Rhinolophus ferrumequinum: one gene and its partners. The main gene of each other region encodes a partner of the protein of the gene in region 2 in a complex. Links are inferred from orthologs where the notes say so. Each region holds a gene or a part of one and is shown on either strand. Other genes may lie near its edges. The genes, in order: DUSP16, MAPK8 and MAPK8IP1.

Region 1 (7,856 bases), on a different chromosome or scaffold from region 2:
AGAAATACCATAACCAAAGACAAGAAAAGTAGATGAGGTTTTAATGGAAAGCCAAGGTGGTCTAGAGGAGGAGTGGCACAAAAATGTGCATAGCAAGAATTAGTGGGAAATGAGATCACATGGATAAGATGAATTCATTAACAAACTTAGCAAACATGATTCAGTGCTGATTAGCTGTCAAGCAATAGGGCTCTTGCACATAATAATAATAATAATAGCTTACGCCTATTACAGCTTCCAGTGTGCCAGGCATATATTAAGCCCTTTACATATAGTATCTCATTTAATTATCACTACAGACCTAGGAGGTATGCACTGTTGTATCTCTACTTTACAGATGAAAAAGATGAAGCCCAGAGAGGTTCAGGAACTTGCTCCGGGTCACATAGTTATTGAGTGGAAAAGCCTGGATGTGAACCAAGGGAGTCAGTTCAAATGTGGGTTCTGAGTACAATGCTAACCTGCCTCCACACATATTTATCTCTTTACATCTTCATAAAATTCCCATGATATAGGTATTTGTATCCCCATTTTGCAAATGGGGATGTAAGGCTCCCAGAATCAGTAAATTGTGCAAGGTTCTGCTGAGAACAAAGCTAGAATCTGAAAGCAGGTCCAGTAATTCCAAGTTCATTAAACTTCCCCTTAAAATACAGCTGCCTGGCATATGGATTTTCTAGAATGGGATCAAATTAGGGAAAACTTTAAGAGCCTAATAAGGGCAAGAAGCCTATACCATAGGAATGGGGAAGACCTTCCGGGTTTCGAACAGATGTGACTTGATTAGTGAAGGTAGGTCTAGGTCTGGCATCGGCCTGGCACAGGGAATCCAATCAGGGAAAGAGTGGACACAGCACCAGATGATATTTGAGGTGAGCATGAGGGTGGGAGGGAGGGGCGGGAACAATGACCAGTATTTGAAGGAAAATCTGATTGTTCTTGGGGACCGAATGGCTAAGGGTACTAAAAGGAGATTAAATCAAAGCAGACTTTGCTTCTCCTCCAAATGACTTAATGGACTAGTAAGGGACTCAAAGGTTATAAGAGCAGCTGGTTTGTGGCAAAAAAATGAAGGTTGCTTTTGGACATGTTGCAATCTGTTTGGCAGAACAATGACTGGCACATTCCAGAGGAAATGGGCAGCACACGGTCAGGGGTGTGGGATCGGAGCTCAGGTAGAGAGCAGAGGCTGTCAGTTCTATCTGACAAAGAAGCTCTGCAGGATCACTGAAGGGGCAGACTAGTCCCATCCCAGGGAAAATAATTTTCTCACTGTGAGAATGAGCCAGGAGTCATCAGAGAACAAAAATGCAGTGTAACAAAAGAAAGCAGGCCCAAGGGCAAGCCACAGGTCTGGACAAGTGGTTAGGGCCAAGGCAGAGATAAAAATTAAAGAGACAGAGCAGCAAGTGTGATATCACCCATATCAAAGGAGAAATGACCACTGAATAATTTCCTGTCCTGTTTCTGGTATTTTTGGATGTTCTATTGCAGAAGTCAAACCCAGCTTAACCGTTCAGACCCTACAGTCTGAACCCTACAGAATAATCAAGAATCTTGGTAGCAGGGAACACACACTCTACATCAGGATAGGGAGAGAACTGAAGTAATCAAAAAATACTTCTCCACTGAACTGTATATTTAAAAATTGTCGCAATCGTAAAACTCATGTATATTGTACCACAGTTAAAAAAAAAAAAAAAAAAAGGAAGACCTCTCCCCTGAAAATATAAGTGTCTATGAATCCCACAAAAATCTCCAAAAGCCCATCGAACTTAGCATCTCTTGGACTTACCCCTTTTGGTCCAAGATCTTGGTTTCCTTCCCAAGTTGGTGGCTGTGCTGCTGAGGTGATAAAGGTACTTGAGGAGCCGGGGATGCCAAAGCTACCTGGCTGGCATGTCCTTTCCAATCTGGAAAGAGAATGGGGTAGTCAATTGAGGCTAATGTGCAGCGGAAACTCCTCTTCTGGCCTTTCTGCTACCTCTGTCCTTTTTCCAGAACATTGAGAATGTGATCCATTGGTCATAGCCCCACCCTCTGTGACCTCTTCTGCCTGACCGAGTTAAGAATGAGACACAGAACAACTCAGCCAGTACCTGGGAGGGACTAACCTGGGGCAGGAACCTGGGAGTCCTGTGATTTCAGTTCTTGCTTATTGCTCTTCACAAACATCCTTTTAAGGTTCTAGGGTACTTCTAACTGGCTTGATGGAGATCACCTCCCAGTCTATATACAATTCCTTTCCTGCACAGTATATAATTTGTTCCTAGGACAGGGCTCCTCCATAAACCAGGGGAGTCTAAAGGGACTCCGACACTCAAAAGTAGCTGAATGGGGTTCTTCCTCATTTTACAAGTGAGGAAACGGGCCCAGGGTTGTTGAGTGACTTACCCAAGGGCATACATACACCTGGTTACTGCAGAACAAGGACACACAGGCTTTCTGATCCACTCTCTAAATCTCTTTTAGCTAGACAAAGAGATTCCAGCTGAAATATTTGGAATTCTATTTTTATTTAAGTTTTGCTTTTCCCGTGATTGGTCTCTTACTGTCTCTTTCTCAGAAGATGTTTAAAATGCCTGAAAATGCCAGCTTAGGTATCCAGAAGAGAATGGTAGCAGCACTGATGGAGGGAGGAAGCTCGCTGGTTACCCACAAAACCATCACAGACTGCCTGTTATGCTGTGGCTAAAACTTGGATCCATGCCCTCCCTCAGCCAATGTACAGCAGAGCCTAGTAAGGGGGCCCCGTGAACTAGGGCTCTCTAGTCCTTTCTGTCATTGCCCTATGTTGACCTTGATCTCTGCCTCTGAAATCCTTGATTACCAATGTCAATAGTCAGCTAGTTGACTTGGGAGGGCCCCTCCATGGCTATGGCAAGAGAGAAGAACGACAGAACAGCTCACCGTAAACATGGGTATCAGGCAAACTTCAGGAAAAACTGGTTGCTCAAGCTTGCCACCTCAAGAGAAACAGTTTTGTGTAAAGCTTGACATGGTGCGAAATAGATGTACGTAAGTTTGTTCCATTGCCACACTCATCTGGGGAGGTATCTGTGGGTCACTTCAGCACATGGGAAGATCCGCCGTCCCCAAGATCATTTAAGCTGTAAAGTCAACCAGATTAAAATGGATTGTCTGTGTTCATCAAGCCTATGTATCTTTTCTATGGTCAGGTCCTGAAAATGTAGGAATTCGGGTTTAGCGCTTTCGAGTCCTAGTCATGCACTTACAAAATCATAGGCCTAGATGGTACTTGGAAGTCATCTAATCCAGCCCCTAATATTACAGATGAGGAAACAGAAGTTTCCCGTTATTATACTTCTAGTACACCGCTGACGAGTACACTCATTTCGTTACAACCAAAATTACACTGTTGGCTCCATGGAGAGGATGGTTAACCTAAAACCCATGGCATTTTTCATACAAACCACTGCTCAGCTGCATTTTCCCCATCCCAGGTTTATACCATTCATTTCCTAAAATTTTGTTTAGGGGTTTACATTTTCCCTTTCATTCCATTTTGCTAGTTTTAACTTCATATTCCAGTCTATAATTTGAATTGTGTTTGTCTTAAGCTTTTTAAGTGTGCTGGGGAAGGGGAAGATCGTAGCTAATGTGCACTTTGCAGTGTGCTTGCTAGCGCCTATTTAATAGCTCACCTGTTCTAAATAAAACTATAAAGAGCATTTAATTTGGAATTCCCTGGCCTAGTTTTTCAGATCCTTAAGGGAGGTGGCTAACTTTTCCGCCTTGGTATATATGCAGGAGCTCTAGAATGGGCTGAAGAATATTCTCAGAGCTTGTCTCATCCGCGGAACTTGGTGCCTGGGGTAATGTGGCGAAAGGCCACCCTCTAAATTGCAGAATCGAGAGGTTTTTTTATGTCCATTTTGATGTACCATTTAATTGTTTATTTTCCTTTAGCCATGAGAGCTAGAGGACTCAAGAGATTTAAGAGAGGGGAGGAAAGAAAGGAAGGATGTCCTAATCTCTTTTGTACTCAAAAAGATACGTGCTGTATGCAAAAGGAGAACCAACTTGAGTGAATTATTTGTGATGACTTTATATATTGTAAATAGCCAGAAACCTAGGCGTTACCTCTGACTTCTTCCTCTCCTTCATCCCCCACATCTAATAATAAGAATGGCTAACATTTATCAGGCACTTACTATGTGCCAGATACTGTGCTAAGATACTTGATAAGCCTGACTAATTTAATCCTCACAAGAACTATTATGATTTTACAGATGAGAAGACTGGCACTTTTAAGAAATTAAATTCCTTGCTTGCACTCTTATATCTAGGAATGGTGGGGCCAGATTCACACCCAGGTTATTGTGACTCCAGAGCCCAAAAGCTGACCCACCATAAGTTTAGTCCCCCGGTTCTCGGGGAAAGCCGCCAGACCATGATGTAGGTCTGATCCTTACAAATCATAGAAGAAAGGAAGGAAGGGAGGAAGGGTTGGTTGGAAGGTTGGTTGAGTGAAAGAATCTTTAATTGTAGTGCAGTTCTGAGAAAGTTCAGCAAAGCTGATGAAACATCTTGGAGCTGAAGTTGCTCATCCGAGCAGTCCCACGTTTCCCAGAGGTGGGCCTGCCTTAGTATCCTTCCCACACTTCGTCATGAAGCAGACTGGGGGAGGCATGACCGTAGCAAGGAGTAGTGACGGATTTCAGAGCACAGAGACTGGGATTATCAGCTGTAATCCTTTCTGAGAGATACATTTTCATTGCTGCCACATTCTGCTCCATTATCTCTTCAAACAAATCTGCTGAGTTTTTTCTTCAACAGATGTCTCTACTTACTGCCCTAGTTCAAGCCTCTGTCATTGCTCACCTAGGCAATTCCAATAATGCTTTTACTTACTTCCCTACTTCCAGTCTCCATACCCTTAAAATGATTTCCTGCAACACCACCAGGGTGATCTTTCTAATATGTCAATCCAACTATGTCATAACCCAGTGTAAGAAGATAGGTCAGTGGAGACTTCTTTTTGTCAATCTTAGAATCTGTATGATGATCCTCGAGCATATCAATGACAAGAATCACACCAGCTTTCATTGATTAGGTTAATTTCAAAATTGCCTTATATTCTTTTTGGTGAGGTCATCATGATTTACCATATGTCATTCATCTGCTTAAAAACCCTTCAAATGTCTGTAAGATGAAACCCAAACTTTTGCTCATGGTACACCAGCACCCCCAGGACCCGGCCACTCCCTACTTCTCCAACATCATCCGTGCCACTCCGGGTATTTAATACTCCAGTGATATCTCAGTAATGAATTATTTGTAGGTCCTGCTGTGCTATATCATATCTCCATGCCTTTGTGTATACTCTTCCCTCTACCTGGAATGCTATTTTCTCTTCTCCTCCCCCTTATGTGCCTATTTGAATCCCATTCTAGGTTGCCTCAGCTGCCACCTCCTTGGGGAAGCTTTCCATGATTCATACACACCCCAATTCAAAGATCATTTAGTCTAGTCTCTAGCCCAATTCAGAAAGTCTATCGAAGGCACCCAGGCGGGAGGTCATCAAAGGAAAAGCGCATGACTTCACCAGACAACTGGTGTTAGGCTGTGCTCATGGTCACATAAACCAGTCAAAGCCATTTCTTATTGTTTTTCACGTGGAAATCTATCAGTTCCTGTTTACCCAGTTTTTCTGTGGATGGTGGTGAAAATAGCAACCATCAGAAGATTCCAGGTGAATGGAGAGTTAGAAGTTGGGAGCCTAACTAAGAAATTCCCTGGGCAGGTCCTATAGAGGCAATGCTACCTTTGAACTTTCAGATCTTGGGGGTTGGGGCAGGGAGCAGGATGGTGGTGTTCAGATGAGGAGGAGGGACAGAGCTTACCAACAGGCCATTGGTCATTTCCTTCTGGTTGTAGCTCCTGAGCTTTATGGATCTTCTTTTCTGAATCCCTGACCTGTGACTCACAGATGTTGCAAGAAAACTTCAGAATGCCTGTGGACTTCAAGAAGCGGGAGGCACGGTCAGAGGGAGGATTGAGCCTATGGGAAACCACATAAAGGTTAGACTTTTGTGACAGTGACTGTAGTTACTATGATTCCACATGTTTCCTTAGTGCTTTTTGATAAATCTGTATTTTTCCAAGACTGAAAAGTTGCATCTCTAACTAACTACATGGATGAGAGATATGTGGTAAGGAGAAAAAGATAGTGAACAAAGACTGATTCTGGAACCCTGTACTTACTGGGAGTGTGGGATCAGAAGCATGATGAACATGAGCTTTTTTTATCCATATTCTAGCACAGGCCTCGTGTTTCCAATCTTCAATAGGCACTGCCTGTTTTTGTGCATTTTAGAGGGTTCAGTATGGTAAACACTGGTGCATTCTCAAGTAGTTTTCAGCCAAAAGTTTAATTTGGGGAAGGAATACATATGAACAAATCAGAAAAAAAATAGATATGATCAATGTTGTTTACGCTACAATATTAGAAATGAAAACAATAATAAAAACCATACTGGGTATTAGGAATCACGAAATTATCTTACCAGCCATTGTTACCCTGTACAAACAGAGCATACAATTATATTTTTTATTGACAGTTGAGTATAGACCATCTGGAAATATAAACATGAGAACAGAATTATGAAAGGAAATTAGTTCCGTTGGATTTTTTAAATTTGAATTTTATTTTTTAAAGACTTTATTTTTCTAGAGTGGTTTTAAATTTACAATAAAATTGAAAGGGAGGTACAGAGGTTTCCCATATGTCCCCACCCCCACATACACACAGCCTCCCCCATGATGAACATTACTCACTAGAATGGTACTTTTTTTTCTTTTCACCAAGGATGAACCTACATTAAACATCATAATCACCTAATGTCTATACTTTACCTGAGAGTCCACTCTTGGTACTGTACTTTCTATGAGTTTGGACATATATTCATCATTATAATATCATTAGGAGTATTTTCACTGTCTGATAAAAATCTAAAGCCATTAGATTTTTTAAATGTTTTCTAAAGCTACACTAATTAAAACATTTGGTATAGTACTAAAATAGATAGATCAATGGGAAAAGGTGGACCATCCAGAAATGGGCCCAAGTACAAACAAAATAAGTTTAAAGGAGCATTCCAAGTCAGTAAAAAAAAATATTGAATAAATAGTGTTGGGATAAGTGGTTAGTCTTTTAGAAAAAAATAGAAGTAGAGCTCTATTTTTCTCTGCACATCAAAAATAAATCTGACAAAAGACTTAAATTTAAGGTAGACAAAAGACTTAAATATAAAAATCAAATCATAAATTACTAGAATAAAACAATGTATTTTTGTATAATTTTGTCATGGAAAAGGCTTTTTCTAAATATGAAATAAAATCCAGAAGACATAAAGAAAAGATTAATAAGTATAACTATAGTTTGCTCTTGATTAACTTGGGGGTTAGGGGTGTCATGCAATCGAAAATCTGCATATAACTTGACTCCCAAAAAACTTAATTGTTCCTTGGTATCCATGAGGGATTGGTTCCAGGACCCCCACGGATACCAAAATCTGCAGATACTCAAGTCCCTTACATAAAAGGCACAGATAAATGCATAATCTGCCCCCCACATCTACGAATTCCCAACTAAGGATCAAAAACAGTACAAGTAGTTACTCATTATAGGTTATTATTCACCTTGCAAAATGGACATATTCAGCGAAGGTGAAAATGAAAGTCTTCTCTAGAGTGAATTCCATGTCTTACTAACATTTTTAAACTTACTGTCCTTTCCCAGAGATATTACAACAGGTTGAATGAAAATTCTGGGTCATGGAGTGTTTACACACTTAAAGAAGTATGCAAATGGAACATATATATTGGGCATT
Region 2 (8,091 bases):
AGCATTAAGTGTCTTCACAAGGTCATTTCCATGATATTAGGCATTGAGCAAATAGTTACGATTCTAATGTTATTAATTTTGGTAAAACGTATTCTTAATTTCCTTTCCAAGTGGCCTTTCTCCCAGGACCTATAGAAGTATGAAACATGGGTTCCTACTCTGCCAGGACACTTAAAGTGAACCATTTTCAATCTCATTAATGGAATGTACTTACTAACAGAATTAATGCTATCTCTTCCTTTTAACATAATTTAGAATGGAATGGGAGACTAGGGCTAGTGAGTACGGGGATTTCTTCTTGGAGTGACGAAAACGTTCCGGAATTAGTGGTTATCAATGCATAACTTTATGAATATGTTAAAAACCATGATGCACACTCTAAAAGGGTAAATTTTATGGTATGTAAATTATATCTCAATAATGCTGGTAGTCTTAAAATCAAAATTTAGAAAACAAAACAAAAAAGCTCTGGTTTGACAAAGAGCCCGACAGTGAGCTACTGCCAAAGGATTTGTATCAATAACACTTACTGGAATCGGACATACCTTAATTAGGAAAAGCAATAAAAGTTTCGTATCTTAAGATTTTCATCGCTTATTCTATAAAATATAATTTTCTTATTTCTTGATTTGTTCCATACATCAGATAATAAGTTCACTCCTAATTCTTTCAAATCCAAAACAAATTCTAAAATTTATTACATAGTGAATGTAAAAGAGATATAACTTGGACAAACTGATATTATTTTGAGTTTTAGGCCCATATGCTCCACCAATAGTATTTAAAATAAAGGAAGATTTAAAATAAAACATTTCCAACAAACATTTCTAAAATGTTATTAGAAATTAAACATTTCTAATAAAATTTTGATGCAACCTATTTCCTTTGTTCTACCTTTTCCACTTAAAGGAGTCATCAGAAACTTTTCAAATGATATTCTCAGAAGGATAAATGCAACCATTTTAGACCTCTATTGAAATATCACTGTGTGTGTGTGTGTGTGTGTGCGCGCGCGCGCGTGCGCGTGCGCGCGCTTGTGTGTGTACACACACGCGCGAGCGATATATACACAGGGTTTCCAGGTGGGAATTCCCACCCGTTCTCAGGAATTTTTTTTGCTTTCTCATTCCCGAATTCTGAGAAAAGTTGGTCGGGAAATCAGGAAAATCGGCTCCTTGAACCTAGGCGGTTGGCAGTATCGGTGTCACCGATTCATGGTGGAGAACAGAAACCAGTTTATATCTTGGGATTCTGGACCAGGGAAGCAAAAAAAAATTCCTGAGAACGGGAGGGAATTCCCACCTGGAAACCCTACATATACACAGATACACACATACATACACACATTTTAGACAAGGTTTTATTTTAGGATAGTGAATGGTTTAGCAGTGATAAAAACAAAACTGATACTGAAGTTATTCAAAAGCCACTACCGTCTTGACCTATATATGAACTAATCATTTAGCGATTTGGAAGTGATAGTTTGCATGAGGCTCCCAAAACTTTACAGAGAAAATTAAAATTTTTTAAGGCTTGATTTTAAATATTATCAGTTGTAAAGAGCTTTTCATCAATCTGACTTTTACTGAACACTTACTATATTCCAGGCTGGGTGCTGGAGACACAGATACAACATAGGTCTGTCCTTAAGTCCCATTTTGACTGCTTGCTTTTGTCAGGCACAGCACTAAATACGTTCACTTACAGCATCTGACCTCCTAGGCTTAACCCACAGCGAGGAAATCTGAGGTAAACATTAAAAATGACTGTAAGGCTATACAGCTGTAAGATTAAAAAATTAAATTTGAAAATGAATAAAAACTGTTGTACATTTAGATCAAACCTAGCTCTACTTCCTAATATAACATGCTACTAGAAGTTCCACATCTACTGCTAAAAAGTATTAAAATTACCCAGAGTATCAGTACTTTCTTTAACACACATCACTTATATAATCGCTTTATTTAAAGGTACATCTACTATATTTCAGTCAAAGCATTTTCTATCTTTAAAGGATATCTCTCTTTACCTTCAAACTCTTCATCAGGGTACACGACTGAACAGTTGCTGAATGAATGAATAAATGATAGAATGAATGAATGAAATAAACAGATGTTCTAATTGACAAGGAGGTACTTGTTAAAACACAATGGACTGACAGAACAGAATTCTACTGGAAAGATCATTGAATTTCAGAGGTAAAAATAGTAACCACTGGACATTGTCTGATACCATGCAGTCAACATGTTATTAAGTTCACAGTAAACATCTGATGGGGAACTTCCAGAAATTAAAATGAAAAGTGTTCATTGCAATACTTTAAAACGGACTTGGATCCGCCATCTAATAATTGGAAACATTAAGTGAAAGACAAAGAGATGAGAGGGTGGGATGAAAAAGTCAAAAGGTCACCATCGAGTGACCCTCATGAGAAATGCGCGCTGACCACCGTAGCTCGCGCGGAGCTGGATGGACACCTCCCGCTCAAACCACGGGCCGGGGCTGCCCCTCGCAGCCCAGAGCTGAAGGCCACCCCAGCCTTTCCTCGGCGGCGCTGCCTGTGTTCGCCCTGAACGTTAGCACAAAGAAACCACCGAGAAACAAAACACGGTCTCCGTGGAGGACAGGCAGGCGTTGGGACCCGGTGACCTGAACGCTCTCCGCGACTGCCCACCGCCGGCGGAGGCAGCCAGGGCGCGGCGGGCCGCCAACGCGCCTCGGTCCCGACCTTCGCCGAAGTGTTTCAGAACTTGCCACCCACCCCCGCTCCTTTTCCCCTCCAGACGTGGACACGAGACCTGCGCGAGGACAGACGGGCGGAGCTGGGGCGGCGGAGCCGGGGGCGAACCGCCAGGGCGCGCCAGGGTCCCGCAGCCCCACGCCCCCTGGCCCGCCCCGCCTCCCCGGCCGCTATTGTTCCCGCGCGGCCCCCGCTCGCCGCGCGTCCCCCGCGCGCTCCCGCTCCCACTCCCCGGAGGGGGTCACGGCTGAGAGGAAGGCGTCGGCACAATAACATAAACACGGCGGGGCCGCCGGCCGACCTGGTCCCCCGGCGCCCGCCGCACTCACCCGGCAGCGCACCGAACGGCGACAGGAAAGCCCGCCGGCGGGGACCGGTGCCGTCCGGGCGGTCGCAGCGGCCGTTACCCAGCGTTGCTCGCGGCTCTGCGATCCCGGCCGCGTCGTCCGGCCTCGGCCGCTCCGCTGAGTAACAGGGACGCGGGCCGTCACCGCGCACGCCCGCTCACGTCATCGCGCAGGGCACCGCCCCTGCGCCATGCGAGCAGCCGCGGGGCGGGGCAGCCCCGGGGCCCGGATTGCGGGGGCGGGGCCCGCAGTCTGGGGGCGGGGCTACCCTAGGGGGCCGGGAGGATTAGCGGAGGTCGCCTGAAGGAGGAGCTGCCGGAGAGCCTCTGAGAGCGTCGAGTGAGGGGCGTGGCGGGGAACCGTAGGGGGCGGAGCCCTGATCCTGGCACGTGGCGGCGCGTGGCCAGGCCGCTCAGCAACGGGCCTGGGGCGGTACGCTAGTCTGAGCCCAATCCTTTGGGGCTCTTCTCCCCAGGATTTGGAGGTCAGATGTGCTTAGACCAAACCGGCTGGTGGAGCAGGCACACATGTAAGAGATGAAGAGCTCATTGCCTTGACAGACAATATATTACATTGTAAGGACAACTGCCCCGGGCCCAGCACCCCACAAGCAAATAAATGTTCTCCTCAGCCATCTGAAAAAGCTGCCCCCTATTTTCCTAAAGTCCACCTTCTACCAGATTCCGTGCACTACCCTATTTGTCTCTGGGCCCCACAAAGCGAGTGTACGTTAGTTATCGAAATAACAGACAAGCTTTTAAATATCCAACAATGGGTGGAAATCTGTTCAAATGACACACACCCATGCAATAGAATGCATTTTAGCCATGTAAATGTGATGTGTTCAAGGAATTGCTAAAAAGAAACTGTTCATAATAGATTAAGAGAAAGAAACAAGTCTATATTCATAAAATTATCCTACTTATATACTATGTATACATAGAAAAAACCTAGAAGGAAATCTGCCAAATTATTTTAACAGTAGTTCATCATTGAACTGTGGAATAAAAGGTGAATTGGTTCTCTTTTAAACTTTGGATATTTTTTTCATGGTTTCCAAATGGAACAGTTTATGTTAATAATCAGAAAAAAGTGTGTTATTTTAATGATGAATAAATAATGAACGTAAATATTTGTTGAATAAATTAGTGAATTCAGAGAGTATCTTCTCCCATGTCATGTTGGGCTGGCCTGTTTCCAGTGATTCTGAAGTGGAACATAAATGGAACATTGAATGGCCAATGAAAAGGATGAACCTGTGAAGGAGCTTCCAGGGAGGTAGAAGGAAAAAGAGAGTCAAGAAGAAAAGAGTGATCAATAACATCAAATATAAAAGGAGGCCTGGAAAAAAAAAAAAAAAAGGAGGCCTGAAATCCTGGTGTACTGAGATCTGGAAGTGGATTAGAATGGGCTAAGAAATGAATGGGACATGAGAAAACGGAGGCAGTGGAAATGGATGAATTAGGCAGTGAAAAAAGATGCCAGGATACTTTACATCTGATAGAAAGACTCTGTTGAGAGGGAGAGGTAGCATACAAGAAGCATGAGTGTAAGTTTCCTGGAGGAGTGTGTGTGGGGGAGGTGGGAGGGTATAATTGGACACCCAGGTGGAAGCATCAGCAAGTACTTCCTACTTCCCACCTGACAATGTTAAAGACCTGGAGGTGACAAAAGACAATATCATAGGGTCGTTGTGAAGTGAGTGGTGTTGCAGAACAGAGTTCCTGAGTTTTATGCCCAGTTCTGTAATGCTACTCACAGCCTCTCATTCAACAGGGAGAGTTTCTGAGTTAGCTTCAGCCTGCTACTGTCATCTCCCAATTACCTACATCTAGAACGGACATCCTGCGTGTTTATGTATGTATGTGTGCATGTGTATGATTCCAGAAAACATTCATTGCTTGTGATTGAATGTAATCATCTCTGATATTCTGCAAAGGCAAAATGCTTTTTGTAACCCAGATGTGGCTCTGGGCCTCCTTCTTCCTTCTCATGTCATAGTTCCTTGTTAACCTATTATGGTTCCCTGTGAGCCTTTTGGGTGCAGACTCAGAAAAAGAGGAAGAGCTAAGGAATTCAGGTTTATTTGCCTCTTATCCCAGGGGAGTTGTCTTGGGGAAAGCTGGTCCTTGGGTCTTTCTGAGGCTGGGATGGGGGAAGGCGGGAAGGGAACACTGTAGGCCCCTTAAACCCATTCTCTGCTGGAGCCCTGAGAGATGGTCAAGAAGAGGTCGCACCCTGTCCAGAGCACTTCCCTTGTCATTCTCTGCAGACCACACACACACTGAATTGCAGTGGAGTTGAGACTTTAGCTAAGGTCTCAGGTGCATCTCACACCCAGCTGTTCAAGGGTGCAGAAACCAAAATTTGAAACTTTATTTCACTTCCTAGTTTCTTGACCTCATTCCAAAGAAGGGGAGTCGGGGAGGGGGGCTTACTAAGGCCTGCTGAAGGGCATCTCCAAGGACACCTCTAACTTTCTGACCCCACTTTCACCACCCTCCTCCTTCAGCCTTGCTTTCAAGTCAACCCATCTGTTTTCCCAACCATGACCTTACAGTCTACTTCTGCATCCATAGGAGGAATAGGTTCAGCTCTTCAGTTAATCACCCTCTGACTCTGAGGTGCTCTTTAGGGCTTGTTCAAGGCAGAGCCTGCTGACTTCAGAGAGAGCAGCTCTGTCTCTGGTTGCATGAGTAGAGGAAAGATGAGTGCTCATGTTGTAAATTATCTTTTCAACTGCAAGAACGATGGCTTATTTCATCGGGAGTACAACAGAATCAAAAATGACCAGAGTTCCTCAGTCACACCTTGAACAAAAAAATGTGAAGGTAGAAGTGGGTGGCTCTCTGATTTGAACTTATAAGTAGTACCCCCTTCTTCGTTTGGGCTTCCTCCTTCTCCTTCACCCCCATATGCACACATGGCTTCCAGGTAAACACAAGAGAGAGACAAACCAACTAGTGAAGCCTATAGATTGAGTACACATGCATGTTTTCATGGGAAAAAAATGGTCAGCATTTATTCCTCTAAGATGGTCTCAAACTGTGGTCCCAGACCAGCAATGTCAGCATCACCTGGGAGCTTGCTGGAAATGCAGATTCTCAGAGTCATTTCAGACATCTGAATTAGAAGACTTGGGGTGGTGAGGGAGAGCACTCTGCATTTTAAGGAGCCCTGGAACTGTGGGTTCAGTTCCAAATCACTGCAATACAGTGATTTGTAATATTTTTGCTGGCGGAGGGTCTTAACCGCAGTTTATAAAAAACACAATACCTGTGAATCGCAATAAAGTGAAGTGCAATAAAAGGAGGTATGCCTGTATTTCTAATGAGCACTCAAGTTTGAGAGCCACTGCTCTAGGATGTGCCTCTCAAGTTGACCTGCTCGTTCAAATTAACTTGGGAATTCAACTCCCACAGCTGGACTCCACTTCTGGAGATCCTTCTTCAGTGGTCTGCGGTGGAACCCAGGATTCTGTAGCTTTTCCAAAACCCCTCAGGTGATTTTGATGTGCAGCCAAGATTGAGAGCCAGTGCCTTAAGAAATTCAGCATATTTTCTGTTCTTTAAAATCTCAGAGCAAACAGGACAGGACAACCTGCCCCTCACTATCTTTTGTGTTCAGGTTCTCTCTTAGGCCTTATTTTCATTGTTGGCTCTTTTATTCTAATGTTCTGCATTCACTTCTCACAGCTTAAGTATGTCTTTTCTCCATCCACACTCAGATATTAAAGATATTCAATATTTATCCACTGGAGAAAAAGACTAAAGGAATTGAGTGGGAAGGAAAGAATAAGTTGCTGAAGTTCTATAACTGATAAAAAAAACTCTTGTTGTTGTTTTAAATAAATATAGATTAGGAAGAAGGCTTTCTGTCAGACCTTTTAGCATAGACTCTCTGCACCATTTACAATTTCGAGCCTAGAATTTCTCCCAGCCCAGTGGAATTTTGCCATTTGCAATTCCTATACTGCAGAAGGTCTGTCCAGGCCCCGTGGTGGAGAGAAGACAGCACCCCATTCCTGGTCTCTCTCCCTTGGCAGCTTTAGGGATTATCCATCTCCATCTGCACCTCCACCTCCCTCTCCATCTCCACCTCTAGGGCTTCATCCTTCACCCTTCAGATATAAAACGAACTCATGCTAGACTGGCTGGAACTCTACAAATAACTCTTTGGCAGGGAAACCCCTGTAAATTCCCAACCTCTGCCAAAGTCCTCCCCCAATCCTCTCAGGAACACCCTCAACTTCCTTGCCCTCCATCTTTACATTCTACATGCCCAGGGACACCCAGCTCCCAGATACATCCATCCAAGTGCCTCTATTTCTCTACCTGGGTTGACAGGGGTTATAGAAAAATGTCCACAATTATGTTGTTTTGAATCCATGGCTTTCAATCTCAGTTGAGGACTACTTAAGAATCTTTGAAGGGGTGGCCAGTTAGCTCAGTTGGTTAGAGCATGGTGCTGATAACACCAAGGTTGCCGGTTCGATCCCCGCATGGGCCACTGTGGGCCCTCCTTAAAATAAACAAACAAAAAAAACAACTCACCATTTATTTACTCGCTGCTCTTAAACATCTTCCTTTGGATCTATAAGCTGTAGAATTATTTGGAGCTGGGAGAAATCGAGTACCTTGGCTAGTCTCCTCAGGGGTATTCTATTTCCGTGTAGTATTTTTTTTTCTTTTATGGTTAAGATCTCTGACGCTGAGCTCAGCTCTCGATATCTGGTTTTCTCTCTGGCTTGCCTCTTTGAGTCCTGTCCAGTCTCCCTCCCAGGGCTGCAGACCTCTGAAACAATGGTGAGATTCTGCTTTCCTGGTCCTGATGCCCCAACCTGCTGTGAGAGCACAGTGAGCCAAGTGTGTGAATTGGATGTCAGTTTGTGCGGTCCCACCTTCTCTTAATATGTGGGTGTGTGCCCCCACAAGGGGATCCCAATTGAATGGGTCCCATTTCCACATGTCATATCCTTTCTTGACAGACCTTGCTTGATTGCTT
Region 3 (7,796 bases), on a different chromosome or scaffold from region 2:
CTATTAAGTGTGCAATAGCATTAGGTCTAAAAAAACCCAATGTACATACCTTAATTTAAAAATACTTTATTGCTAGAAAATGCTAACCATCATCTGAGCCTTCAGTGGGCTGTAATCTTTTTGCTAGTGGAGGGTCTTACCTTCAATTTGTAAAAAACGCAACATCTGTGAAGTGCAATAAAATGAGATATGCCTGTAATGAACATGTATCAGTTTAATACTAAAATTTCAAAATTATTTTGTCAGTTACAGAAGTAACCTATACTTATTGTAGAAATAAGAGTACAGAAGTATGTACAGTAAGTGAAAACCCCTCCCCCATACCATATCCACAGGCAACTATTAGTAACTGGTTGGGGCATTTCTATAATCAGAACAAAGAAGGACACATATTATTTAAACCAACTATCCACAAACAAACGTTCCCCACCCTTGCAGGTCCACATCGTGCTCACCCCCTCCACCACCTCACCTCTCTCCCAATATTCCAGGGCACTCTCTGAACTCAGACTGCCTGGGTTCCAACCCAGCTCTGCTACTTATCTAACCTCTTTATGCCTCCGTTTCTTCATCTGCTAAGTGGGCTTACAATAAGAATAATACTCTGTTTATATAGTCCTGGTAGGAACTCTTGCACAGAAAGTGCTCAGAATGGTGTCTGGGCAAAGTGAGCCGCTCCCACGTGTCAGGGCGTACCACTGGGCTCTCTGGCAATGCACTGTATTCTCTGTACTCTAGGAGGGTGGTGCCCAATTTTAAGCTTAATTAAATAGTAAACCAATAAGGCATTACTGAGCACCTACTCTGTGCTGGGCATTGGGCAAACCAAAGTTTAGATATTAACTCCTTACGCCTTTGAGAAGCTGACAGTGGTGCTGGGGCATGTGTAACACACACAGTAACAATAAGAACAACAACAACAATAACAACAACTGCATGAAGGCAGCGCTCCACAGCTCTTGGAACACTCAACATGTGTTGTCTCATCCAAGTCTAAGGACCGTCCTGCACAGCGGCCAAAGCTGGCATTATGGAGAAGAAACAGAGGCTCGGGGGTCGAGTGCCCAGTCTTGGGGCACACAGCTAAGAAGGCTAAGCCAGGAATCAAACCCAGGCCAGCTGGATCCACGACCCCACCAAAGAGCCACAAGAGAGCAGTAACTACCCAGGGTTAAACCAAACTGGGCCAAGGGCTCTGAGAGGCTGGACAAGGGAAAGGGCAGCGGGGGCGGCCACGTAGGGCTGGAGACACTGCTCTTATTATTCCCACGAGTGGGCTTTGTCTTCACAGCCAGGCCACCATGTCCCGGAGGGCTGGCCCACGCCTCAGCCTTGGTGTGCTGCCACCCTTGCCCACCTGGGCCAGGACTGGACACACTCACTGGCTGGTATCCACCCTGACAGCTCCTCTCGCTAAAGCGCCCATGCTAACCTGCCTGCCTGCCTGTGAGCACTGGTACCTGGGGATCAGGAGCCAGGTGAGGGGAGGTAAAGCTGTCCTCCGGGCCAGGGGCAGGGCCTGGAGGTAGAATGGACTGAACACGCACCGTAGCTGTAGGTTCCAGTCCAGCCTCAGGCTCTAACTTCCTCTGGGTCCTTGGGCAAGCCACCTGCCTCCCTGAATCTCAATGTCTTCATCTACAAAATGGGCAGACTGATCCCCACACCCGGGGTGGTTATGAGGGCTAGGTGAGCCGGCACTGGGAAATGCTTTGAACAGTGAGGAGCTATACACAAGCCTGCTAGCATAGAGGGCGGGCTGACACTTGGTAAGCACCGACGTGATATAAATTAAGGAATCAATATTCATTAGCTCACCTAACATGTGGCACTCAGAGAAGATAAAACCCTGCCCAGGTCATGCAGCTAGAAAGTGGTGGAGCTAGGATTTGAACCCAGGTCCTTCTAAGCTCAGTGCCCTCCCACTGCAGAGGGTCCTCCTGGTAGGAAGGCAGTGTTTGCACAGAGGCAGTGTGTGATGCCAAGTGGAGTCACTCTCAGACCTCAGGCTTCTTACTCAGGCACTAACCACAGAGGCCCCAGCATTCAAACCTCCTCCATCTGGTCCCCTCCTTCTGGTGTTTTCCGGGCTCAGCTCAGGGCCTCAGGGGAGGTTTCTAATCCTGATGATGCCATTAGAGACCCACAAAGGTCCCTGCCCACCTGAGGACCAGGGAACCAGCAACCTCTTGGTCAGAAGAGGGGCTGGCGCCAGAGACCAGCTGGGGCCTGGCTGAGGTGGGGGCCCCAGGAGACGGGAGGGCGCCAGCTCATTAGATGGAGAAACAATGGGGTACATCGAGGCCTACTTCTTCCAAGGCTCTGGAGCAGTTACACCTCCTCTTCCTTCCACCTGGGGCCAGGATTCTGAGGAAGGGACATCAACCCTTCCCCACAACACCTACTGTCCACTTCTCTGAAATTCACCTCCCAATTGCCTAACCCCAGCTAGGAGGCAGGGAGAGGGGTGAAGGGAAGCTCAGATTAGGGTCCTGGGAACTACTCCTGCAGGGACCCCCCCCAATATTCCTGGTTACTTCTGGGTGTCCAAACCAGACACCCCGTCCCACAGCCACGTCTAGAATCTCTGGGTTGAGTCTGAACCTCCTGCACCTGCACACATCTGACAAGGTCAGGACTTGTCCAAATCCAGGTCTGGGAGTTAGGCCCCTCTGGTCAGGCAAGGCCCATGACTCCCTCCTTCCTGCACCAAGGTTGTCCGTTGCCCCAAGAAACTGGCACCCATTTCTATTCAGAAGCCTTCGGACTGGGCACAGGCAAAGCCAGCCTACCTGCCTCCTTTGGGATCTCAACCCAGATTGCAGCCCTCCTCCAATTGCAGCTCAGAGTCTCCTAGCCTAGGTCATGGAATGGCGGAGGGAACCGCACCACGGATATGCAGAGGCTATCAGTTTAGACTTGAAGCTGAGGGAGGTTCTGGGGGCTCCGTCCAGGGAAGAGACTCCATCTCCATCCAGGCTGTCCCCTCGTTCCCGGGGTCTGGGGGGGTGGTGTGTGTGTGTGTGTGTGTTGCAGGCTGTGGGGAGAGGGAGCCTGAGCAGATCAGTCCCGGCTAAAGGGCGGGGCACCGCGGCCGGGGATTCTCACCTGAAATTGGGCGGCGACGCTATGTGCAGCCCCAGGAACGGGGAGGCGGCAGGCGGGGACGCGGCCCCCCCGCCCAGGCCGCCGCTCTCTCGCTCCGCCATTCTCGCGCACAGCCCTGGCCATCCGGGCGGAGCGCGGTGCGGAGGCAGCGGCGAAGGCGGCGGAGGCGGCCGAGGGGAAGGAGGTGGGGGCGTAGCAAGAGGCCTCCGCCGCCGCCGCCGCGGGGATCCTGCTGGGCGGGCGCGGCGGGCGCACCTGCGCAGGGCAGCGCGCGGCTCCGGACCGCACACCGCTCTCGGGACTGGCGCGAGCGCCACCGCGCGCGCCCCCGGGCCCTGCCTAGGGGTCTCGTGCGCCCCGCCCTCGCCCCGCCCCCGGGCCCGCGTGCCCCGCCCCTCGGCGCTCTCCGAGGTACTGAAGTCGCGGCCCCTGCCGCCCCTGGGTCCGGCCCAGCCCTGCCCTAACTCTTACACTGACTCCTCTCCCCTCGCCCCTCCCGCAAAGCCCTCCCAAGCCCCCCCCCCCATGTGGCCGTGCGAGCTCTGCCAGTTGGCGTGGGCTTAGCACCTGGGTGTCAGGTAACTAATGGCGGGCCCTTAGTTGGCCCTCCTCAGCAGACTAAGAAGGCGGACAGGAAGGGGAAGGTCGTGGAGGCTGGCATAGAAAGGGAAAGGGGGTTGGCAGTGGGCTCCTCGAAAGACACTGGGATCTGTGGGACACCCCAGCCTGACAGGTTTGGAGTCAGTTGGTGTGGCTTTGCGTTATGATGTACCCGTCCTAAGGTTTGGTTTTCTCACCTGTGAAATAGGGACAATAATGGTCCCTCACATGGTTGGTGTGAGGTTGAAACGTATCACAAATGTATTGTCACCGGACGCTGAGAACACTCCATCTCCTGCTGGGATCCAGGTTCACCCCGTCCAGTCCCATTACCTTGAGGGGACCCTTCCAAGGACTATCCCTAGAGCGTCTCCTCTCTAAAGATTGACTCAAGCCCTGCTTCAGCCCTAAACAGCTATTAATGGTTAACTGAACCCTTCCTCTTGGCTTCTGTTTCTGAGCTTCTCCTTTTTCATGTCAAGACTTTCCCAGATTTGTCCCTCTTCTCACTTATCCCTCAACTGCATTTCCTGAAGAGGAAACGTGCACCCAGACATCCAGAGCTGGCCTCTCATATTCTAAGACAGGGCCTTTCCTTCTGCCCCAGCTGTGGTTTCTTCCTGGCCTTCTCTTCCCTAAGAAGGCTAAGCCTGTGAGTTCTTTGAAAGCCTGGACTGCTGGACATGCAGGCTGCTGGTCAAGGTTAGGGCCCCAGCTTTGGTGGGTCATAGAGCCTCTGACCAAACATCACTGGCTTTTCTGGCCACCTGGGAGAATCACACAGGTCCTGCCCTTCACCTCTCTCTGAAGCAGCAGCAGAGCAAACTGCTTCACAGCTTATGGAACCTTATTTGCAAAGCTGGACTGCCAGCTGGTCAAGCCACCCCCTTTACCTTCAGTGTAGCATATGGAAAGGAGCTGCAGGTAGCAGGTCTGCAGTGAACAACCCCCAGCCCCAGCCATGAGAACGTCCCAATACCTAGAGCCAAAGGCCTTGGCTGCCTTTCTTCTCCCTGCCTAGACGGGTGGCCACTGTATCTTCCCTGCTATCTTGGCTCAGTCTCCTTTCACTACGCCTGAACAGTAACCACCTGCTGTTATGGTGCCTGGATTCCCAGGAAAGCAGTCCTGCCATAGTGGCTAATAATTGTACCTTAGTGTGGAGAGTGTGTTTGTCTTAACTAGGGAGTGTCCTCAGGTCAGGGGTGTGTGTGTGTGGGGGGGACAACTCCATCCTCCAGGACCTTTTGCTCAAGAACAAAGGTATCTCAGCTCTCCTAAGGCCAAGCCAAAGCCACATTAGAGAGCAGCCCGGAGAAAGGAGAAAGGGAAGGGCGGGACCAGATCTTGGTGGGAAAGGGGCCACCAGGAGCTTCAAAGCAGAGCCAAGAATGAGACGAGTTCCAGGGTCAAGTTCCTCCCTTTTCCCCTTTCTCACTCTATGCAGGGCAGAGTGTGATATTCTTGGGCCTTGCCTGAGCCCCCTCCCACAGGAAGTTGGGGTACGGCTAACAAGGCTCTAACTTCCAGTGGTCTAAGGCTGGACACCTTCACAGGAAAGCCCACGCACTGTGCGCAGAGAAGGGTCACTCTCTGGCCAGATGGCATGAGACAAGGTCAGCATCCAGGCCCTGGGCTTGGCTGTGGTCCCATCTGGACCACCTAGCCAGAGCCAGAAGGCTTGGACCCCTTCCGCACCACAGCTGCAGCTTAAGTGGCTGAGTTGAGGTAAAGGATGGATGGAAGGCCCGGAGAAGGCCTGCCCCTGACTGATCCCCAGCCTGGGGGTCTACGTGGGCCACAGGCTGGGTCTCTGCCGAATAGCACTCATGACCCTCCTCCAGTGCCTGGAATGCGCTATACAATTCTGGCTGATTGACCTCCAACTCTGACAAAGATGGGGAGCTCCGGATGCTCACCTAGGAGCCTCCCCCTTCCTCCATCTCTCCCCACCCCGCTCACCCCCGTGACCTCCAGGAGGGGCAAGAGGCTCCTGGTTCCAGCAGAGGCAAGAGGGTCCGGCCTAAGGCTTCATTCAGGCTCACCCTTACTGATGCCCACCCCCCAGACCTCCCACAAGACTGACGACAGCACAGCTTTGCTCATCCAGGATCAGACATTTATGAAACAAGTGAATATTCACAAACTGTGGGAGAAACACACCTTCCCAGCAATAGAAAATCTCTGTATAAAGTGCATTTTGCCTGTGACCATCTCTTACCCATGCTGGCCCTTGGATCAGGATTTGGGGCAATGCTCTATGGCAGCCCCCAGACCCCTGGGCCAGGGGAGGGGAGGCACAAAGCCATGGTGGAGCTCTGGGCTACTGGATGCACCCTCTCCTCACCCCGCCCCTCCTAACTCCAGGAGTGGACCGCTCCATTCCACTGGGAATGGGCCAGCATGCCAGGGAGGGTGAAGCAGGGGTAGGTGGTCTGGCCAGCTTTTACCTTAGGGAAGAGAATCCCCACTCAATAGGCAGGGTAAGGGACTCATCCTGGTCTGAAGGGGCTGCTAACGAACACTGACGCTGGCCGGAGCCCTCTGGCCTTCTCAGTTTCTCAGACCAGCCCTTCCAGGCTTGCTCTACTCCCCTTCTGGCAATAGTCCCCAATTCTCTTTCTCCTGGCTGGGGCTAAGGGAACAAGGAAGTCCCCAACCCAATGCTTCGAATACACACCGTCACCTGTGCCCTGCTCCCCACACATAATTACGGGACATTTCTAGTGAGGGTGACAAACATACAACGGTTAAACTCTAAAGGCAGCTCTCTGGCTGAGAACACCTGAGGACCTCTCAGGAAGAAGCCTGTCAATGTGCTGGACAGCTGATGGAGACAGGGGCCTGACCCCAGGGTTCCGGTCTGAGGACAGGGGACAGTGGGGGACAGGGCTGGGGCCAAGGGAGTTAACAGCTAGAAGACTAGGAAAGGCCACAGGGAGGTAGAGGAGAAGGCCCTGAGGCCAGCTTAATGTTCCATGTGAGGACAAAACTCCAAAGAGGAAGTAGCCTCTCAGCTACGCGCGCATGTAGCACACACGCACGCGCACACACACACACACACACACACACACACACACTTTGTGGCTCAAGTGCAGGCCGCAGTGGAAGGAAGACTTCTGCAGCTGACCACACAGTCCTTTTCATTATGTCTTTCTCAACACGGGCCTTTGACAGTGGGAGGGTTGAGGTGGGAGGCATAGGCCACTCCTGGAATGTAAGGCCTTGACCTCTCCGGGTCAAACCTCCCACCTGCTACTTCTGGAAGGGTTGGTGTGCGGAGGGGTTCTTTACTTGGACCTTTCCCAACTGGCCCTGGCAGTCCTCACGAGTCCACCTGCCTGGGTCCTCGGTGCCTAGCTACTGGCAGAGCTGACATGGCAGCTTGGACGCTGAACATTCCTGGGCAGGCTCTGGACACCTGCAGAACAGACTAGAATGGCCTCCCTGGCTGGCTGTCAGCTGACCTCAATGGCAGCACTGTGGTGCCCTGGAGTATGGCCAGAAGAGCCAGGAACCTGGCCTCCTGCTGGTGGAGGCACTGGGTTGCCACAGTCAGCTCTGAGGCTGGCCCTCAGATTCTGCGGAATGAACAGTAGGAACTGGGATTTTATTCCCAACCTTAGGTTTTAAGCCCGAAAAGGTGGCTGTACTTCCTAAGCTATCTTCTACAGTACCGTGTATACAGGTACTGGTGTACTTCCGTACGTGGTGGAAAGTTCTCAGATCTGTCCACAGCCTCATGTTCTGATCCAGATGCCTAAGGAAGGGTCTGGTCGACCCAATGGCAGGGAATTTTTAAATAGGAAAGAAGCCAGGCCAGGTGACTGTGTCTGGATAGCATCCGTCCACTCCAGCCTGCTCAGCCTCCAGGGTCAGGAGGAACTCAGAAGGGCTCTGGCTGCCTTTAGAATCCTCTGGACAGGAGCCAGAAATGCTGCCCTCCTGCTCCTCCGTCTGATAAGAGGGAGGCAGGGAGGGCTGGGGGAGGGGCAGATGCCAGAATCCCAGCGAGGGCCCTACCACCTTTAGCCTGGGCCATAACCTCTAGCCTGGTGTCTGAACGCTGAGGTGAAGCTGCTACAGGA

The links.
Region 1: the proteins of MAPK8 (region 2) and DUSP16 are in contact, whole or in part, in a crystal structure (PDB 4YR8), measured with the Homo sapiens proteins. The link is inferred for Rhinolophus ferrumequinum from reciprocal best matches to the Homo sapiens genes MAPK8 and DUSP16. Residues at the interface, in NP_001310257.1 of Homo sapiens: Arg189, Val196, Ile197, Leu198, Gly199, Asp229, Ile231, Trp234, Gln253, Thr255, Val256, Thr258, Tyr259, Val260, Asn262, Arg263; in NP_085143.1 of Homo sapiens: Phe215, Leu267, Asp268, Tyr271, Lys275, Pro279, Ile281, Ser282, Pro283, Asn284, Phe285, Asn286, Leu288, Gly289, Gln290, Leu292, Asp293.
Region 3: the proteins of MAPK8 (region 2) and MAPK8IP1 are in contact, whole or in part, in a crystal structure (PDB 3VUM), measured with the Homo sapiens proteins. The link is inferred for Rhinolophus ferrumequinum from reciprocal best matches to the Homo sapiens genes MAPK8 and MAPK8IP1. Residues at the interface, in NP_001310257.1 of Homo sapiens: Lys83, Asp112, Ala113, Gln117, Val118, Met121, Leu123, Glu126, Arg127, Tyr130, Tyr133, Val159, Lys160, Ser161, Asp162, His286, Val323, Trp324, Asp326, Glu329; in NP_005447.1 of Homo sapiens: Arg157, Pro158, Lys159, Arg160, Pro161, Thr162, Thr163, Leu164, Asn165, Leu166.

Annotation. Positions count from the first base shown.
Region 1 is NC_046293.1:27,377,756-27,385,611, forward strand, and holds the start of DUSP16 (dual specificity protein phosphatase 16), read right to left. Parts: upstream 3,101-7,856; 5' UTR 1,796-3,100; intron 1-1,795. UniProt on the Homo sapiens protein: Dual specificity protein phosphatase involved in the inactivation of MAP kinases. Dephosphorylates MAPK10 bound to ARRB2.
Region 2 is NC_046299.1:62,953,196-62,961,286, reverse strand, and holds the start of MAPK8 (mitogen-activated protein kinase 8), read right to left. Parts: upstream 3,238-8,091; 5' UTR 3,070-3,237; intron 1,614-3,069; exon of another isoform or gene 1,598-1,613; intron 1-1,597. UniProt on the Homo sapiens protein: Serine/threonine-protein kinase involved in various processes such as cell proliferation, differentiation, migration, transformation and programmed cell death.
Region 3 is NC_046294.1:14,967,149-14,974,944, forward strand, and holds the start of MAPK8IP1 (C-Jun-amino-terminal kinase-interacting protein 1), read right to left. Parts: upstream 3,407-7,796; 5' UTR 3,210-3,406; coding exon 3,109-3,209; intron 1-3,108. UniProt on the Homo sapiens protein: The JNK-interacting protein (JIP) group of scaffold proteins selectively mediates JNK signaling by aggregating specific components of the MAPK cascade to form a functional JNK signaling module. Required for JNK activation in response to excitotoxic stress.